Lonchura striata: one gene and its partner. The protein of the gene in region 2 purifies or fractionates together with the protein of the main gene of each other region. This does not show direct contact. Links are inferred from orthologs where the notes say so. Each region holds a gene or a part of one and is shown on either strand. Other genes may lie near its edges.

Region 1 (9,976 bases), on a different chromosome or scaffold from region 2:
GGGTTTTGACAAGGTATGCTACCTCTACATACCCAAACTATTGCCAGAATAATCCAGTTAAAGAGGTCACAGAAGGATGTGGGCACTTATAGCATAAGCCATCATATGTTAGTTGGTCAAATATGAAAACAAAAAAATTAATTTACAAATATTTTAACCTAAGACAATCTAAGTTGAGATACTGAATTATCATTGTCCTCCCATCCCATATGTGTTATAGATTTATCAGCTGGATATATTTTGAAGAGAGTGCTGAAAGGTTGAATTTTTGTACTGCATGATCAGTCAAAGCTTTATATTTTAAAGAATTATCTTTGAGGAGGTAGCAAGTTTAAAGCATGTCATCATACCCATGTAAAGATTTCCACTTATTTTGTATAACACATAGTCTTACATAAATGTAATTTTATATTGGATGCTTAGCCATTCTTACCAAAAGTAGTTTGAAACCAATAAAAATATTCTAACTTTAACATTAGAGAAGGACTAAAGGAGTAACTCAATAGAGCAGAAAAGTTGCAAAAAATGTTAATGAAAAGCAAAGGGTAAAAATCAACTTCCAGCTGCCTGAAATATAATCAGTTTAAAATTCTGTCAATAAATTCTCACTTTCTGTCCTCTGAAAGAACCTTCCAAAGTACCTAGTAGAAACAGTAGCTCAAAATGATGAGAACTCTCACCAGATGAGAGCTGAGAATAAAGGTCTTCATGAGCCAGCAGAACTTGGCAAGAAACAGGACACAAAATCATCCACCTCAGACAGACTTGATTTCTGTAGTTATTTACTTATTGTAATGGCTGCAGAACAAGCAGGGTTTGCCCCTGGGGCAGTTTTGCAAAGTAAAAAAAAAATATAAAAAAAAAAAATCAGCAAGCATCACGCTTTTTATGTTTTCCACAGGATAATATGGGATTGTCTTCTGAGCATGTCTAAAATCTGACTTAACAAACTCCCTCTTCTTGCTGGAATTGGTAACAAACAAGTTTCAAGTTCACAGATGACATGGAACACATAAAAATAGTCCTGAGAGCTCAGAAGAACTCCCTATTTTTTTCTATATAAGCCTAAAAAACATCGTAAAGGTTTAAATCAATGCAGATCATAAAATTATCTCTTCCAGGGGGGTGCATTAGTTGCTTAAGGAGAAATTCATGAAAGAGTAACAGTTGTGAGATCTGAGCCACAAAATTATCTCAGACTAATCCTTAATTGTTAAAAGTCATCTTAAATCTTTAAGCAAGAAGATTTATGTGGCTTTCAAAGCTTTTATTGTAGCTTCAATTATCATAATATTGAATATTCTTATTTTTCCAGACCCTCTTTAAATCTCGTTACATTCCTGACCTCAGCAGCATCCTCTCGTAATGAGTTCTACAATTTAATTACATACTGAATTAAAAATAATTTTGAAAAATCCTTTTATCTGCTTTATATTTGTCACCCCTCACCTTATTCCTCTGCTATAAGACAGAGAAAACAGGAGTTACATGTCTATTTTGAATTTTTGTATCATTCTATAGTCTTATCATGGCTCTTCATGATATTTTTTCTAATTCCTTTGCCTTTCAATATCTCTCCCTGTACATACATACTTTATCATGATAAAATTTCTAGTCACATGATGTGCCAGCATAAATTCTCCTAAGATGCTGTAGGAAACATTCAAACATATTTCAAAGAAATGAAGGCTCCAGAACCCTAAAATCTACATCCCTCAATTTAAACCTCTTATGTAATGTACGCTTCATCAAACTAAATGCAGTTAAAATATTATCAGCTACATTTAGTATATTCTGAACCATGTCTAAGATATTTTTTTAATCCTTCAGTAAGTAACTTAATCAAAATCAGTGACTGAAGAATGCTCACAAATTTTCTTCCTTCTTTTAGAGCTTTGCAAGGAGCACATTAGCTGTAGGCCAAAGTCTGTGGCCACTAATCCCAAAGTGCCCATCCAAGGACAGGCTGAAAAGCTAAACATTTTTAGGAACAGCAACCTAATCATGCTTTGACAGCTCTTTCTAAAATTATGTCAAATGCACCTTTCTGAACACAGTGACCTACAACAATACTAAATTCATTGTTATACTTAAAAAATAATTTTGTGCTTCAGCAGATTTTGTTTCTGGGTCAAGCAGAGAGGACAAGGCATCTTGAGACATGGAGTGATAGAAGCAGAACAAAAGCAGCAAGTCTGAGGGTACTATGCAGAGGCACAGTGCCCATCTCTTGGTTTACATGATGAATGAGATCACCCAAAATCTAAGAGATAGCAGAGAACATAATCTCTGACCTTCCTAACATGTCTAAATAACGAAATTTTCTATTTTGTTGTTGTTAAAATGTTACTTTATTATTAAAGCACATGTGGCTAAAAATTATCGGTAAGTATTACTGAAAGCTTTAATTGCCAGCTAGTTATTAATCCATGGGGCAAGCCTAGCGACACAGAATTGTTCTACTGGGTCATCCTGGGTCCTAGCTCATCCTGAATGAAAAATTCTGTAAGTGCCAGTCCTGGAGTAAAACCTACCAGGAAAAGACAGCAAAAAGTTGTTGGATTCTAGGAAGCAAGGGTAAATCTCTGTGTACCAAGGGATGGTAGTCAATTCTGATCAGGGCAGATGGTCAATACTGCTCAGGGTAGATTGTCAGTACTTCTCAGCGTAGGCTTTTGAGTTGAATAACTCTCTCAGAAGGACAGAAGGGCACCTTGGTAAAGAATTACCAAATTGTGATGTTTCAGAGTCGAGGAAGCTGAGGAAATGGGTAATTTTGTAATTCACCAAAAACTAAAGGGAAATTCTGGACACTGAAGAAAAATGCAGAAATGTTTGTGGACGTCAGGGTAGCTAAGGTTTAACTAACAAGTGTAACTTACTGTCTTTGTACAGACTAAAGAGAAATCAGGAGCTGTGTCTCCTCCCCTGTGAGAGGAGCATCAGGACTTCAGCTTCCAGTTTATAAGAATGGGTTCTGTAAACTTACAAGAAATTTGAGTTGAATTTTAACACTGAGATTTTTTCTGCTTGGACTCAACCTTCCACTGAATTGACACATTTCCATCAAACCCACAATTTTGTGACAAATATCTCATTGCACTGGTAGCAAAGGACTTCTAGGGCACTTCAGACATATTCACAAATTCAGTTCTAAAGAGGTGCTAAAGCATACACTAAAAATGATCGTAAAAAGATACATTTTATTCAAACCACCAGATGTAGAGGGAGAAGGAAGGCAACCCACAAAAAAGCATTATTTTTAAAGCACTCAGAGTTCACCTCTTTTCTTGTTACAAGTCACAGATACAATTATTTTTTTGCAATACTGGGGTAAAAGATAACTGGCATGCAAACATTTTCACACATGTGTAACCCAGCTAGCAATTAAAGCTCTCCATAGAAGTTATTGATAGTTTTTACTATCAATAATTAATAAAGGAGATGCAGGAATGATCTGATGTGTTAGGAGGACTCAGGATGATTTGCATGTATTAGGAGGACCTGAGATTACCAGTATTCCAAGAAAGGTTCAAAACTCTAGATTCATCAAGGAAAGTTTCATACAGACTTCAATGTCCTGAGATTTCCTTGTGAATATTTGAAATCTGTGGATTCCTTTGGGAAGAAGTCATGTGTCATTTAGGTCCTAACACCCTTACTGTGACAGATTTCAGATGGCACATCCCCTTTCAAGAGTCACAGATCTGTTGTCTCAAGTACAACACTAAGCTGCTCAGCTGTGGAACTGACCCAAAGTCTGTGCCATGCAAATACAAACTTGTTATTAATGTTGCAGAATTGACAAGTTCACCATTCTGTTCCAAAGAGTCCCAGTCAAAAGAAATCTGACCTTGTACCATTAGTCCCTTAAGAAGAACATAAAGAACTTGGCTTCCCCCACTATGGCAGTGCACATTCTTCCAACCCCCTGAGAACATGCCTCAGCCCCAGCCTTCACAGACCGTGCTAAAGGGACAAAACGGTATTTGGGCTGTAAGGGCGTTTATGAGAATGTTAATCTGAGAGATGCAAACAGTTTTCTGCCAGGCTTGGACAATGATCAGAACACTGAGATGCTGTGAGGAACAATGCCTTTAATAACTGGTCAGCTGAGCTGTACTGCATTTCAGCTGATAAAATGGAAGAGCAGGCAAGTGCATCACTGCTGAGCATAAGCCCCTCTAAGCTGCCCATCACTTTGTGTGAACACTGGTACAATGAGTTAAAGTCTTTAGTCAGTTCAGTCTTTGCACAGCCTTCTAGATCAATGAACAGCTCAAGGCAATTCTAAATAACTTTCAGGCAATTATTTGAGTCATATCAGAGCTCCTATATACATACCTAAGGGAGAAACATGGCAAAAACAAGATACCAAATATCAGTGATGTGAATAAATTATGCAGCTGCAAAAGAACTCTTTGCCAGAACAAGCCTGATGAACCTTCTATTGCTTTACCAGAATATTTTGACAGTTTTGCCTAATGACCCTCCAAGAATGAAAAAATGCAAACAATTCTGGCCTGGAAAAATTAACCAGTTCAAAGAAAACAGATTTTTTTTTTTCCCCTCTTTTTTTGTTTTTTGTTTGTTTGTTTGTTTTGTTGTTTTTGTTTTGTTTCGTTTAGCAGGAAAAAATCTGGGGAAAAATAGCAGCAGACTTACCCGGAGATTTCCAGAGAAGTTTTACCGTCCTTCTCCTCGAACTGCTCAATGATTTAGGAAACCAGTAAAAGAAACGTGCTATCCTCCTGATGGTTTTGTTCAGATCATTTCTCACTGCCATGGCTGAAAGGGCTCCACTGCTACCCCAGGAACAAGAGGCACATGTATCCAGAGGAGAGAGGAGAGCCCACGAACACCCACAGTGAGTGCGCTGGCTCTGAGCTCAGCGTCAGCCAGCACGTCTCAGGACCACCTGTTAGTCCTAAATCCCCACCCTCTCCGTCACTCCGCTCAGAGCCCTCCAGACCTCCCTCTTTATTACAAGAAGCAGCTATTTTAATAGATGCTTCAGCTAAAGAAAGACCAATGCTCTGGAGTCTTAACCTGTTACTGTGTTTCCAATGATGTTAAGACATGTTTTCTGCAGGAAAGGCTTTGAAGGGCTCCTTTTTTCATCTGTAGCTACCTTTTCCAGGCTGAAAACAAATAAACATCAAAACTGATAGTGACAAGTAGTCTTTCAAAATCCCTTAATGTAAATCAATATATTTCCTCTGTAAAGAGAGTCTCTCAAAGACTTTCTTCTGAGCAGCAGAAGGTTCTGAGCAGCAAATTTAACAGAGATTTCTATGGATACACACATTGTTCAAAATGAGACTTTCCTCTTAACGGAGTTTAAGGCAAATGTAAGAGTCAAATCATTCACTGACACAATTTACTTAAAAATTGAGCATCTATTAATATATCACTATACAAAGAAATTAACAGTATCTCAATACATAGCCTACACCTGCTTCAATCATAGTGCATATTAAATTGTAAATCCAGAGATGCTATTTACTGCAATGCCCCCTGCAAAATTTACCACAACTTCTAAAATACACTTTTAAACAGTAAGACTATGTAACAATTTCCCAAGGATGGTATGATTTCCTTGACTATGTGTCCAGCTTCTCACATTTGATTTTATTTTTTTTTTCTTCTTCTAGATCTGAATGGCAGAAATCCCTGGAAAATCAAGACTAATGTCATTACAAAACAAAGGTCCTTTTGTATCAACCTTTAAACTACAGAAAGTAAGGGTTTTGTTACACCAGCTATGTTCACAGCATACAGTTAATAAATCTTCCAGAATTCACAGTGTATTTTTCTACACTAAAATATGTGAAGTATTTAACTCCATTTTTTACATCTGACTTTCTAAACATACTGCTGCTAGTCAGGACTGAGCTACTGGTTTCTGATTGCATTTCCTGTTGTCAGTATGTCTCTAAAAACAAATAAACATTTCTATTTATACTGTATCTGTCACAATTCTTTAGCCAGTGTCAATGAAAAGAACAGAAGGCAGGACACAGACCACTGGATTTTGTCTCATTTGAGCTCCACCCTGTCATACCAGAAGGAATTTAGTAGCAAAGTGACAGTTTTAGCAAAGCAGGAGGTCTGTCACCCAATTCAGAACAAGAAAGGAGCAGAGTTAAAGGCCTGACAGATAGATTGCTTTTCTTAGGAAATAGGAGTCTGAGTGTGTACTGGCATCTGTGAAATACAAGATCAAACAATGACTTCTTTTTTTTCTGAAATTTTTACATATAAAATTGAATGAAAATCAAAGTAGCATAAAAAACCCTGAACAATTTCACACCCTAAGTAAATATGTAATAAATTGCCTAGTTTTGCGATTTGTCAAAGAATATATATATATATCTCCTTTAGCAGGATATGAAGGGGACAGGAATATTTTTTTCACTTAACAGAAAATGCTGATATAGTATCTTTATACTGGAATTTTATGAGGCTTTAAAATTTACCCAGTTGGAACAACGTAAGGGGATAAATTGACTTTGTTGATGATGGTAACAAACCTGTGGATGTTTATACCTGACAATATTTAGTGAAACAAAAATAGGCAAGAACATAAAACACTGTGTATTACTTTAAAGCAAACGGATCTTACTTTATCCAAAGACTTCACTGGGATGAATCTGGCAATTATACTGTGCAACAAACCACGTAATACAGATGAGAACACAGACCTGAATTCAAATTAAACTGAACAGCAGTGGTAGTTGCAATATAGTAATTTCACAACTTCTACATCACTTTACATTTTTAGGCCATAGTTAGGCCAAAATACAAAGCTAATGAACAGCCTGCCTCCCACAGCTCAGGGATCGGGGTGTGTGATGGTGACGGGAGTTCCTCTCAACCTGAACTGCTAGCTTTAGAATATGAGCCACTGTGCTGTGCACAGGAATGCACTGCTCTCAGCTGGACTCAGGAAAGTCCACAGAGCTCCTCCTAAGACAACTCTGATTCCTCACATTACACTGATGTATTATTAAGGTTAAGAATTCACTGTATTAGAAAGGTACTACACAGGGCTGCATATGTACCTTTCAATCTACTCTGACAGAGAGACAGCACAGAGATACTTTCCAAGGAGGACAAAAGGACCTGAAATGTGAGCAGACTCAGACTCTTGATCACTGCCTCTGTTTCAGGAAAAAAGCCACGTAAGGCTTTTTCCTACAACAGACTTCAACCCCCAGGTCACACTCTGCTCATCTGGAGGAGGGGAGGGAATGACTGCTGCCTTCATTGCTGTCCCACCTGCCTGGGAAGGAAGGTGAGCAGCTGTCCCCTCTGCTATGCAAGCAGCCTCTGACCTCCTACCTCCCCACAGCAGTGCAGAGGTCAGAGCCCAGCGGGCCCCTGTGCAGGGCAGAAATGCCCACAGAGCCTCCGTCTGTGTGGTGCCTGGGGTGCGTGGCAGGTCACCACCTAGTCAGGAGAGCTGGGTTCACCACACTGCCCAGCTGTGTCTGCCTCCCAACCCACTTTCTGCATGGCAACCTGTGCCCAACAGCTGGAAAACAAAGGGGTGCTCATGAAACATCCATCAGTTTAGACATGTCCCTGTCTACCCTGACCTACAGAGCTCAACAGACCAGCTCTAAGCAGAGGGGGATACACGGTGACCTGGTGCCTGCCTTACTGCAGCCCTTCCATACTCACTGACAGAGCTGAAAGAACTAAAAATACCCCAAACTAACCTTCATTGCTACAATAAAACACTCTTAAATGAACTGTAAACAACCAGCAGTGCTTTACTGGAAATATTCTCTTGGGGTCTGATGAGTTCATGTATTTTAAAAGCAAATTCTCTGCTAACAAGCATTTTTTAGAGCAACACAGGAGTGCTGAGATACCATAAAAATGAAGTCTGATAATCAGGAGGAGCACACACAGTGGTGCTAGATGTGAGGCAGATGCAGAAGTCTCTGCTCTGGAGCAGAAGAGCATTTTTCCTCAGTGAGGATTTACTGCCATTTCCACTCCCCCCAGCTCTTAGGCAGCAAATTGCTGGGATGAGTAAAGGATTTCATTTGCTTTGACTTCAACTGGAACTTCTCCATTTAGTCTGGTTTCAGGAACAAAGATCCCCACACACCTGTTCACAATAAGAACTATGTGTAGGAAAAGCTGAGAGTATTAAGCAGTATCTGCTTGTCTACATTGGCAAATATCCCTATTATCTAGGCTCAAAATGAGGTTTTGGTTTCTTTGCAGGCAATAATATACTTGGAAAACAAGGCAGTGTCTTTCCAACCTGTCCCAATGTGGATTATATGTCACTATGCTATATGCTACACATGCAGGCACAGTTCAGTATGGAGAAGTCAAGCCTCCACAAGGATATTTCCCATATTGATGGACCTTGAATTAAATTCTGTTCAGCTGTAAATTTTTATCCAACCATCAAAAAAAGGGCCCTGTCTAACTAGTCACTGGGATTCAGCAATACCACGACACAGCATCACTGATTTCATAACAAAACATAATTTATAACATCATGATGTGTGACAAGGCTATGCGGTTGCTAGGAAATTAATAAAGAACACAACTAATGAAAGAAAAGAAACAAAGACATGCTGCATTTGACTTTAAAACAGTTGAAACTAGCACAATACTTCCAATTTCCAGCTCAGCTGCTCATCCCTCCCAAATCCGAATAAGCAGCTATATTTGTGAGCTTTCTAAAAAAACTTTTAATTCTCAGCAGCTGCATGTACACAAAAAGAAAGGACTAAAAATTAAACAGTGATTGGCAATCTGCAACTTCCAAAACCTTGCCTCCTTTTGAAAGGTAGTAATTGAAGAACTGTAGTATTCAAACTGATGTGAAATACATCTGTTATCAGATTTAATGATCTATTAATTACTCTTTTTGGAGAATAATTTGATTTCTCCCCTTAAGATGTAAGGAGTAAGAAGCTTTCTTCTTAGCAATAGCTCCAATGAAACACATCCTGGATTTTGAGGAAGAAAATCACTGTTCCAAAGCACATTAGGTCAAATTTGATTAGCTCTTGTTTAATTCAACAATATATTACTCTGTAAATAAATGTCTTCCTGCATTGTTACATGGAAAAGAATGTCTCTCTGTGTATTTCAGCAATATTTATTCTTGATACTTTTCACTATCATCCATTGTACTGTACAGTCATTCCCTGTTTTATTTCAAATACTTCAATCAGTGAAATTTGTTCTAATTTGCTTTATGTTTTTTTCCAGAGGCAGGTAGGACCAGTACTGTGATGGAAGTGTGTGAGGGAGGGCATTGCTGTTGCTGTGCTGGTGCAGCTGAGCATCAGGAAGGTAATGCACTATTTCCTGGAGACTGCTGCTGGTACAATGTGCTGCTCTTGCTCCTCTTTACCGTGGTTTGGTTACAGGTTTACTGCATGTCTGAAGGTTTGTGCTTCAAAACTAAAGCTGAATAAAAGATTATAAAGCCAGATGAAGAGAACAATAGTGTAATGTGAAAATAACAGATTTGTGTTAATTTTAGCTTTGCATTAGATATTATATTAGTAGCAGCAAATTCAGGGAAATTATTGAACAGTCTCTAGGAAAAGCACTTTTGTATTGTAAACAGCTACACTGCAAAGCAGAGGAAAAATAAAACTCAAGGCTAAAACTGGAGAGAAGATACTGAGTTGCCTTGTAACATAGTTTGACACATAGGATTTGACTCGGCGCGTGATAGACACTTGCCTCTGGGCTTCGGGTGACTTTGTGCCAAAATTAGTAGACTTCTCAGTGAGAGCTTGCAGGGAACTATCATTAAGAGAAAACTGATTGAGGCAGAAAAACCTAAACGTGTCAAACTGCTAAAACAGTATGTTTGTTCATCCTAATCCGGTCTGCTTAAAACCTGGCCATTTTTAGGTGCAAGCAAGCTGTGACCTTCCTTCTTTAGATATCTGTATTGCAGTAGGAACAATTACATGCTGTTTGAACT
Region 2 (10,800 bases):
TAAAGTTTTAAGCCTTCTTTGCCTTTCTCCTAATCCTATCTCACAGCAGAAAGTGAGTGTATTAGTGATTAGCCAGCACCAAACCCCCCGTATTCTGTAGTGCATTAGCCAAAAAAAATCTCAAAATTAAAAAAAAACTTAAATTAGCAAACCAAAACCTCTGCACGAAATTAGTGTTTCTGCCCAGTTTTGAACTGAAACCACCACACTGACCAGTGAGGGAACTCATGAGTCAAAATAGATTTATAATTGCCAACCATCTAAGTAAAAGCAAAGAATTTAAAGTAACTGTAAAAGCACACAAGTCATATGGATTGGTGTTAAACAAGGGACACAAGGCAAGGAGAAGGCACAAGGGTGCACACATTATACACCAAAAAACAATTTCACAGATGTAGCAATTACATTAATACAAAAAGCATCCACAATCAGTAAGGAAAGGTGCATTAACTACAATAAAGACCATGCAGTTTGCTACAGCAAACAGCCAAGAAGCTGGAAAGTCTGTGTCTTTAGGGAAAATAAAACTCTTCACAGCAAAGGGAAAGCAACTTATCAACATGGAGAAAAACAGAAAAAAAAATTCAAATTATGTTCATATTATTCAAGTCGGACAAACATGTTACAAGACCAAATCACACTTAACATTAAGGTAGCTTAATACAAAACCTATTTCCAGTGAGAAAGGTACATGGCCTCAGGAATGTCATCACCAAATACTGTGCTCAAAGCACCTCCCCCGCTCGTCACAAGCACTGTAACAGTACAGATGCTGGGTAAGATGTTCAAGTGATAGTATCAACACCACAGGTCTTTGAATCAACAAAAAATCCTAATGACTCAGACATTCTAATGATTTCTGTTTCTGGATGTTTAAATATTCAGCTCTTGAACTGCAGAACATCAGGTGATATACCCTGAAGGGCTGCAGTGAAGACAGCATTGCTATAAACTCCAGGAGAAACAAGGAAGAAGGTGGCGACTGGTGTAACTGGCTGCAAAGCACCAAGCAGAATACAAGAAGAGACTAGAAATAGTACCTTGTTGCTTAAAAGCAACAATCTTAGGGCAGAGAAACACATCTAAGAGTTCAGCATCAGCTTTTACTGGCAGAGGGAAGGGGGCAAAGTGAAGAGGGGGCAGGAGGCAAAAATGAAGAGATAAATGGCACAAGAGCAATAGGAGAGAAAGACAGAATGTGTCTCACTCTCTCCCTCACTGATTCCCTACCTTCATAACACAAGCATTTAAAACAGAACAAATAAATCAGCACATCCAGGCACTGCTTTACTCTGGCCAAAGCATGCAAGTCCCATACGTCTGTGTATGTATGTATATATATCTCCATATATGAGAAAGTCCAAAGGAGATGCAGAGAAGTTCAGTATAAAACCTGGACAAAGTTGTTCTGAGTTACTTTTTTCTCTAGAATCTAAGTTATCGGGTAGTGATTATGAGCTATTTTAGAGGTCTTCTAGAAGGGAAGCTGGTCCTTAAACCAGAAGGATTAACTAAATTACACTTCTGGGAAAGGCCTGTGAAAACTATTTTCTTGTTCCAAGGTTTAACTTTCACATAACACCTTGTCTCTTAACAAGGAAAACACATCCTAGCAAATAATTATACTTTTATAAATCCAGTTCATACGAGAAAACATTAATTCCTAGTCTGACCAGAATCTTAGATGCCATTGAGTACATCAGAAAAACTCTAGAAAAGGAAAACCTAGTAGGCACTCAATAACAGCATAAAGATCAGAAAAATTTGAACTGCAACACGAAAGAGCAAGAGATTTCCTCCCTAAAAAATGAAAGGAAAAAAAAAACATGACAATAGTACCCTACAGTCTTTATATATAGATTTCACAAAATAAATTGGTGATGTGCTACAGCGGTAGGGATAAAAAATCCTTGAAAGTTCAAAAATCAAACTAAAGCTGGAATAAAGAATAGAAAGCCATCAATGACTGTCATGAGTTACAAAAAACTGGACAGCCGCTCCAAGAAACATGAATATATACAGTTTATTGTGCAGAAGAACTAGCACATTGAAACATTTAAAAAGAATGGCTGGGATCAATTATACTGATATATTAAAAGAGAAGGTAGTAGGAGCAATCACTGCAGTCATCTGAAGTAGAAGTGGCAGGTGGAAGCCTTGGGACATTTGTTCTGCTTCACAGCACTCACACAAGTAGAAGCAAGATTAAGACAGTTTACACCACTGTGCTGTGTACTTCCATTGAGCATCCTGCCAGCAAAGCCCAAACATTTTTGTTTCATCATTTTCAGGAGGAACTTGACAATTGCCAACATGTCCACTGACACACACTTTAAAAAACAAAAACACACTTTTTCACAAACAATTTGTATTCTAATAACAAGTTTTTATTAGAACATGAAAAGGAAAAGCTTCCTTTTTCCACAAAGCCTGAAATGTTGTGTTTTTCAGTGAACATTAAACTCAAGTTTAAAGAAAGGACTGGAAAATCTTCATTAACACTTCCCATGCTTGTTAAGCAGACTTTTATTTGACAGCAACATGCAGGAGATAGGCAAGATTAAAACCTATGTACTTGAGAAAATTCTGTCAATAACTACTTTGGTTTTCCCTTGTATGCAACCTGTATCCTCACATGCGAGCTTGCCAGGGATACAGAAAAACAAAGCAATAACAACCAAGGAAAATCACACCACTAAGAGGCAAATTTTGTAACTATTTCAAGAGTAAATCTCCTTCCTAGTGAGAGAAAAATCTATAAAGCACATCTAAAGTACAATTAAAGATTCAAGATGCAAGAAAACACTGTGTCAACTACTGCACTAATTGTTCAGCATAAAATCAGAAAATCTACTCTAAATTATTTCTAAAATTTAAAATATTCTGAAAAGGAGTCTCCCTTTAAAGTCTGGTGTTAGTGCTGCAGTGCATTAGTCAAATGAAAAAAGTGAATTATTTTGATAGCACCTCCATTGAAAAGTCACAATGGCTTAGAATGTCACTTGGGCATCACCACTGCTGCTTTCTGAAGGGCTGTATTACAGATTTATACAACAGGCAATTGCCTTGTGTGCTTCACTACAAGGAAGTGCAGATAAAACTGCCCTATACCTATGAGGTAACACTGGGATTCTAGGACATCCATGCAGCTTTTTATTGTACATATGAAATTCCTACTAACTGTAAATGGAAATGCATCACAGATATGATGACAATAGATCCCTCTCAGTAACTGCTCCTGTGAACAGGCACCAAAGTAAAGAATTCTAGTGTTCACATCTGTTTTGCCAAGTAAACACAGTCCATTTCATGCCACTACTGCATCCAAGGACAGCACCAAAAACTTAGCCCACAAAAAATAATCTGCATTTCTTCTGCACTTGCAGAAAAAGGGGGTGGCCTAGAATAGTTGAGAATACCAACAACTGGGAAACTGTACAAAACTACCAATAAAGGAAATATTATGCACAGCCATGAAAAATTTGCTTGAAATCTTAAGAAATAACCTCAGTTAATATCTTGCTGAGTTCAAATTTTCCCTCCCACTAAAGAAACAAATCACAAATTTCCAGAAATAAGCTTCAAAACCCATGTGGAATATAAAAACATGCCAGAGTTTAGATATTCCCACATCTAGTTATTTCTGACCAAATCCAAAGACCTAAATATCTCTTTGTTTCAGTTAGGCCAGACACACACCTCCAGCTAGGTAATAAAGTTACAGCAAATGCCACATCTTCCCCAAAACATTTGGGAGGTTATGCTAACTTCTGAGTTTGATTTTCAGTCCTGTTACACCACCAGTTCCCAACGTTTCCACTGCTACTAGCAACATTGATTACTCCCCAGACTTTTCCATTTCTTTTCCTAAATTTGTGCTGGTGCTTGTCCTACTTCCTTCATTTGAGATATGCAGAACTGTCAGCCTGAAAGTACAGCATAGGTCTGTCCCTTCTTACCCCACTGCCTGCTAAAACCACCCTAGATAGCAACTACAAACCAATTCTTTTTCAAAATTTTCCACAGTAGGTACTGTCACTTTATGAGTTATTGGAGAAGTCATCAGATGTTTAAGACTACATTCTTCTCAAGTCTTATCACCCTACAGGAAGTTGTTTTTAAAGATGTTTTTTCTAAATGGGGAACATATAGGTTTTAAAGATTAATGCAAAAACGTATCTAATATCCTTTATCACAAATTTATATTGCGTAGTCCCTAGATTTTTTATTATCAGGAAGCAAAAGTAAAATCAGAGCTCAAAGGCAGTGTATATATATACGTAAACCATGTAACTACATTCTGTACACCACACAACTATGGTCTGTGTATTGTACAACTATATCTTCTTCCAACTGAAATATATGACTAAAATTTAACACAAAGTTATTTTATGCACTAAGAAGTCAAGTGATACATTATTTTTAAAAACGTGCACAGTAATTAATATGACCTGCCAGTCTATATATTTGAGAAAATACATCTACTGTGGGAATATTCCTGGCTTTTACCTCTTCCCACTCCCCGATTTGCAATTGCAACTATGCAACGCCCACCCCCACAAGCATCCATCCCTCCAGCAGCAGAGCACAAGGACACTTTCCAGCGTGAAAAGAGAACTACTCATGTGTGCTCCTGCCACAGACCTGAACCATCGAGTGAGAGACCCTCAGGGCAGAGAGGACTCTGCTCGGCGACCAAGCTTCCCTCACTTCACGTTAAAAATGTTGTTAACTCCAGCAGCCCCCAGGGGCTCGTCTCCGCCGGGGCTGTATTTCCACTGGAGGCTGTATTTCGGAGGATCCACCGTACAGAAGAGCCCTCCCCACGCGAGAGAGCCCTCCGGCCGCCGGGCAGGGCGCAGGGCTCGGTGCCGTGCCTGTCCCACTGCCCCCTCACAGACCCCGGGCCCGAGGCCTCACCCCGGCCGTGCCACCGCTCCTGGCCGGGGAAGGGGCCGCCGGGGAGGGTCCTTACCTCTTGGGCGCTGCCTGCTCCATGCCGTCCCCGCCGCGGCCCCGCAGGGCCGAAGACCGAGCGCCCGGGCCGGAGCGGCCCCGCAGAGCTCCGGAGCGATCTCACAACCCCGCCACAGAGCCCTCAACCTCCCACGGCCGCGCTCCGGCTGCCGCCACTACCGCTACCTCCGGCCGCGGCGGGGAGCCGCCCCCCCGCGCCGCTCATTGGCTACAGCCGCGCCACACCGGCGCTGATAGGGTGGCGTGGACGTCGCTCAGAGCGGCGGCTGCGAGAAAGCCCCGCCCCCCGCGAGGCAAGCGGGCGCTGCCGCGCCGGCGGGAGGGGAAGATCATGGACGCCGCGGCGCTGCCGAGCTCCCGGCATGCCCCGCGCGGCTACGGCCCGCGGGGCACGCCGGGAGGTGTAGTCCGCCCGCGGGGCGTCCCCGCGAGCCGGGCTGTGCGAACCGGCACCCCCGCGGCGCCGTTCCGCTCCCGCGCTCCGTCCCCGGCTCTGCGCTGCGCCGCCGGGCAGGGCAGCCCCAGGCAGCTCCGCCGCCCAAGGGCGGCCCTTCCCCCGCGGCCGCCCCGTGGCCTCGGGCAGCGCTGCCGGGCGGCCGGGCGTTCCACCGCCTGCGTGCGCCGGGCGAGGCGGCGGCGCCGCGGGCAGCCCCCGCCTGGGCGGGCGGCCGGAGCAGCGCTGAGGGGAAGCCCCGGGTCCGGCGCGGCGGCCGAGCCGCTCCCCGCTGCCACCCCGGGTGGCACGGGCAAGCTCCTGAGGGGAAAAGGGCCGGCGCTTGGCCCTTGGCTCTGTGGTGCCAAAGCACACAGGGTAGCCTGCGAAGCAGGGAAGCTGTCACGTAATTAATTACTCAAGCAGCAGGTTTCAGGCTCCAGAGCACCATGTGACAGCTGCAATTTCACCACCTTACAACTTCGACTTACGTGCTTGAATCAGATGGATCCAAGTAGATGTAACCAAGTCAATACAAGCAAAGCTGACTTGCTCAAGCCAAATTCTATATACTTTCCTGACAGTAGGTTTATTTGCCTAACTAATGGAAGTTCAAGGTAGTAAAACACCTAGGCAAGTTGCATAAAAACACTGAGATGCCCACGTTTCACTTCAAACTGATTTTAGATGTGCAGGTATTACACTCCCACTTCATAAAAATATCTGCACTCCATACGTAATTTCATCTCTTTGATGTGAACTAGCAAGGGAATTTAGAATGAAGTCCTACTGTTGTGCAAGTTCTCTACTTTGAGTCAGTCCAACCCTGTTGACTCATTGTAGTTGGGCCAAATGCACAATGGCAATATTGAATGAACCCACAAAACAAATCACACACCACCATATGACCTTTTAGGTTTCTTTGTTTTTCTGAGTCATGGAAAAACTGCAATAGAACATCTTCTTTTGCACAACAGATTAATGCACAGCTCTTCCAAGCATCATCCCACAAGCCACAGTGTCTCACCAGCAGAACTGCCAGATGTGTCCATAGCATAAACAGCAGTTTGTAGGATATGCCAAAAAAAAAAAAAAAAAAAAAAAAAAAAAAAAAAAACCACTTAAGAAAAGGAGCCAGCAGATGCCTGAGATGGAGTATGGTATAAGTGCCTCAGAAAGTGGTGAGGAGGAATTCCACATGTCTCATTTTCCAGTGAGGTCAGGCAGATAGCAAATGCCACGTGGCCAGTGTCCAGCTTTGTTCTACAGGATATTTGGCTATAGCCACTGACCAATTATTATTTACAATTCACCAATTTCACCTAATGAATCCCTCTTTGGCTTTAATACTTCTGGAATGCAGAGGTTGTCTCCACATCCTTTAACACAAATATTTAAGACAGTATTTTTTCCAGGTTATTTCAGAGGAGGCGAGTTTTGCTGCCACATCTCAAGCCAAAGGTGCCACAGACTTACACATTAAAGCATGGAAAAGGATTCTTAGAAATAAAATACAGGTACTATATTATAGTTGCAACAGCAATACAAAGAAACAGAGCCAAGAAGTGCTCCCTCTCCCCATTCACACATATATTTCATTTTCTGGAAAAACTTAGGCTAAACAGTCTAATCCACCACTTTTACCTCTCCCTTAAACAACAATTGACAAGAACAAAAAATTTTTTTCCAAGCAAAAAACTAGCACATTTAGAAATTTTCTCATTTCATTTGAAATTATTTAATACCACCATCCCCACTTCAAAAAAATACCCTGAGTCCTCAGTAACTGAGGAAGATGGAGAAAGACTATCCTCCATCTATGCCACTGAAGAAAGAAAAGGGTGTCAAAAACTCAAGATGTCTGAAAGAGGAGAAGTTAGATAGCCTGGCTTTATTACATAATGGGGCAGACAGTGCCAAAAAAAGTATGGACTAATTCCATGCCTCTCTCACAGAAATTTAAGTTGTATCTTGTACAATTGCCAGAAAGCTTTCTAAGTACATTTAAACTGAAAATAAAACATCAGTAGGATAACATATTTACCACAGTATTTTTCAATATCACTTTATTAATCTCTTATAATTTCTAGTAGTATTTTTAGTCAGTGACATTGGAATAAATAGCACTATCTCACCTTTCCCCTGTGACATGAATTTGAGAACCATACTGTGAAATATAACACTGATTTGGTATTCATTACAATACTGTACTTAGCCACTGGCAAAGAAGGAACTTTGAAAGGGAAAACAGATTCCCTCTGTTCTCCTACCTCATTCAGAGTTCCCAGTTAAGAGAAGTCTAGATGTTCTGGAGGCATGAATATACTATGAGATTGCTGGTGTCTAGACAAGATGGAGATGAGGAAGTTGCAGACACTCTACATGAGTATTCCCATGATTTCTTCCAACAGCAGGACTAACACTAAGAAGCCAGCTGAGTAAGAAAAGGCTTAATGTAGCCCAATCCTAAAAATGTAGGAGGAAACTAACTGAACTACTCTTTTCTTCTGAAGTATTTTATCCATTTTACAAATTTACCTGCCTGAATTAGGTCGCCCTTCTCTTCAGAATTGGCATCAACATCAAATACAATTCCTTAGGCCAAAGAATGGATGAAGACCATACTTAATTTTTGAGTACTATAATTATTTTATAATACAGTTTTGTAAACAGATAAAATAATATATATTATAATTACTTATACTACAATGAAATCAGAAATCATGATGTATGGACAACTATTAGGTGCTGTAGAAACATACACAAAGGAAGTTCTTAAGCCCCTAAAAATATGAACTAAAAAGTCCTAAGATATCAGTCCTGTCTCAGTGTATATAGTTTGTAATAAAACTAAGAAGAATAAAAATTACTTGAGAAGCTCATGTCTGCATTTTCAACAGGTATTACTAATGTTGGGATTTAAATTACAAATATGTACTTCAAAGTCATTCATAAACATCATGCAAATAAATTACCTATGTTATAGCAGGGACTTTATCTCATCCCTTTGATAGCAAATAAAAGCAGCATTTACTTCAGAAGGTATTAGATCAGGCTCATTTAAACAAAGTACATTGTAATGAATACATGATGCTACTGTAAAACAGCAGAATTAATAAATAGTGTGTGTTTTCCAAGAGATACTTGTCATGAACACTCCCCAAAGAAAATGCCCCTAGTCCTTCATCATGTCTGTGCTGCTTTTCACAGGCCAGCTCTTTTTCCTTGCTTTCTACCCTTTCACCATGGTAGCTCCCATTTCTTTCACACAGACCGGGTCTTCAATGCTCTTTCCCTTGATGTGGAATTATCATCCCACAGTAGCTCCATTCACCTGCTTGGCACACCAAAACCAACAAAAGCCATATAGACCCCCAAGCACGCTCCCAGCTTGATCCTCCCTAAAACCCTCCACATCACTGGTGTCTCACCATGCCTTGGCCCACTCTGGCATTGGCCCACAGAGTCCTAAGGATGCTGTGTCTCCATCACATCTGCAGATTCACTCACAGGAAAAGGTGTTTGGCTCACAGGAGAATGCTGGAGGCCAGTGCACAGCATGGGCCCAAACCCAGGTAAGGACAGAGTTTCCCTTATTTTTCCTTTGCCCTGGAGTAGACTGCCCCACAAGCAGGGCATTCCCTCCTCTACCCTTGAGTTTTGTAAAAATAGGAATTTACTATAATTACAGACCTCCAACTTTCCATGAAACATGTTTAAGACTAGTAAGGTAAGTCACAAATTATTGTGAAGGGGAGAAAGGTAGGGGATGTCAGGCAAGCACAAAGATGGAATGAATTCAGGAGCCTGCTTTCCTTGGAATCCAATTCATAAATTCAGTAGATAAATAGTCAACAACAGCATGTTTGCATATCTCTCCCTGTGACTGCCTGATACTGATCTGGTATGCCGAAAGTTAAGGAAAAGGCCTTGAATGAAATACCAGCTTGTTTATACAGAAGATAAGGAAACTTGACTTCTGCCTGTATTTTCTTCCTACCTATCATGTCTAATGTGAAGTAACCTTGAAGACTTATCTAAGAATTTGTTATATACTTTTCTAACCTTGTCAGTCATAAAATAGTTATACATAAAATATAAAAGAACATAATATTTTCAAGCCTGGAATAAAATTTATATTTTTCTATAGTGGGTTTTTAAGTAAGTTTAGGAATAAAGAACAAGGCATAGAGACAGGGGGCTCTCCTTTCCTGATCTATTCACCATTTAATGGTTAATTAATGTCACTAAAAGGAAAATGAATTTTTGCTGGTCCAACAAAAGAAAGAGGCAGAAGATAAAAAGTCAGGCAATATATAAGTACAGCAATATAGAGTCTGCTATCCATTTCCAGTCTGTTAAAATCAACATGATTCACAAAATTCCTACTTAACATTAAAAAGAGTCATAAAAGGCCTATAAAATATTAGCTGCACTGCTGCAATTCCTTTCACTACCTAGTATACATTATTTTGATATTCAAAATATTATTACTGGACCTAAAACCATTTGTTGATTAGGATAGGCTTTTACTGTTGACTAACCATTTTGTTCACAGTCTTGGTAACAGGCTATATATAGAATTACCATTTGCTATTTTTCCTATTATAGCACACTATGGTAAAAATAAACCATGGATACAGAGTTGCTATTTACAGTTGACCACAGAAGATATTCTAGCCTGTACTACAGCTGCATTGATTGTGCTCATGGGATCTAGATTGGCATTAATAAAATCATTATGGATTGTGAAACAATTACTGTTGTGGTAATACTGAGGGTTACTCTGGATTTTCTTCTGCACAAAAATATTCCTTCTCTTTCTGAGAGCAACCATCTGCTCTCCAGTGTGCAAAGAGGTGTGCTCACACCCTGGAGAATAAATAAGTAACATTTAACTAGCAAGCCTTCATGCCTGCAGCCAGGGTGGAAACTAGTATCAATAACAAAAGAAAGATTGAATCATCATTACTTGATGAATCAAGTACTTCATGAAAGCAGCTTCAGCTGTGTGAGTACACACAGCCTTATGGCCAAGGCTTCCACCACCATGGTGGCTGGATTTTCTCCTATCTTCCTTAAGCTTCTGAGATGAGAATTTTAATAATACATGGTCAAAATATTTAGAGAAGATAAGGATTTTTTTTTTTTTTACAATTTTTGGGCATAAAGATTTCAAGAGGCTAACAAGACCCATTCTTTCAGATTCAAAGGAGGGAAGTTTCCTTGCCTTTGTGGGCCTTTCACCTAAGTGCTGGAAGAGAAGTTTCAATATGTGTGATGCCAAATGACAGAATAAAAAATAAGGAGAACTCAACAACCTGAAAACAGATTGTGAATATTGAGCACTGCAAAAACAATGCCATTAAGTACTTACAGTTTATTCAGTT

What was found. The genes of interacting proteins can lie anywhere in the genome.
Region 1: the proteins of STK3 (region 2) and RASSF3 purify together in Homo sapiens (affinity purification with mass spectrometry; 4 studies listed by BioGRID and IntAct, with this or other methods). This does not show direct contact. The link is inferred for Lonchura striata from reciprocal best matches to the Homo sapiens genes STK3 and RASSF3.

The regions. Positions count from the first base shown.
Region 1 is NC_134607.1:42,828,201-42,838,176, reverse strand, and holds the start of RASSF3 (ras association domain-containing protein 3), read right to left. Parts: upstream 4,859-9,976; 5' UTR 4,787-4,858; coding exon 4,666-4,786; intron 1-4,665.
Region 2 is NC_134603.1:22,422,572-22,433,371, reverse strand, and holds the start of STK3 (serine/threonine-protein kinase 3), read right to left. Parts: upstream 5,152-10,800; 5' UTR 4,999-5,151; coding exon 4,976-4,998; intron 1-4,975. UniProt on the Homo sapiens protein: Stress-activated, pro-apoptotic kinase which, following caspase-cleavage, enters the nucleus and induces chromatin condensation followed by internucleosomal DNA fragmentation.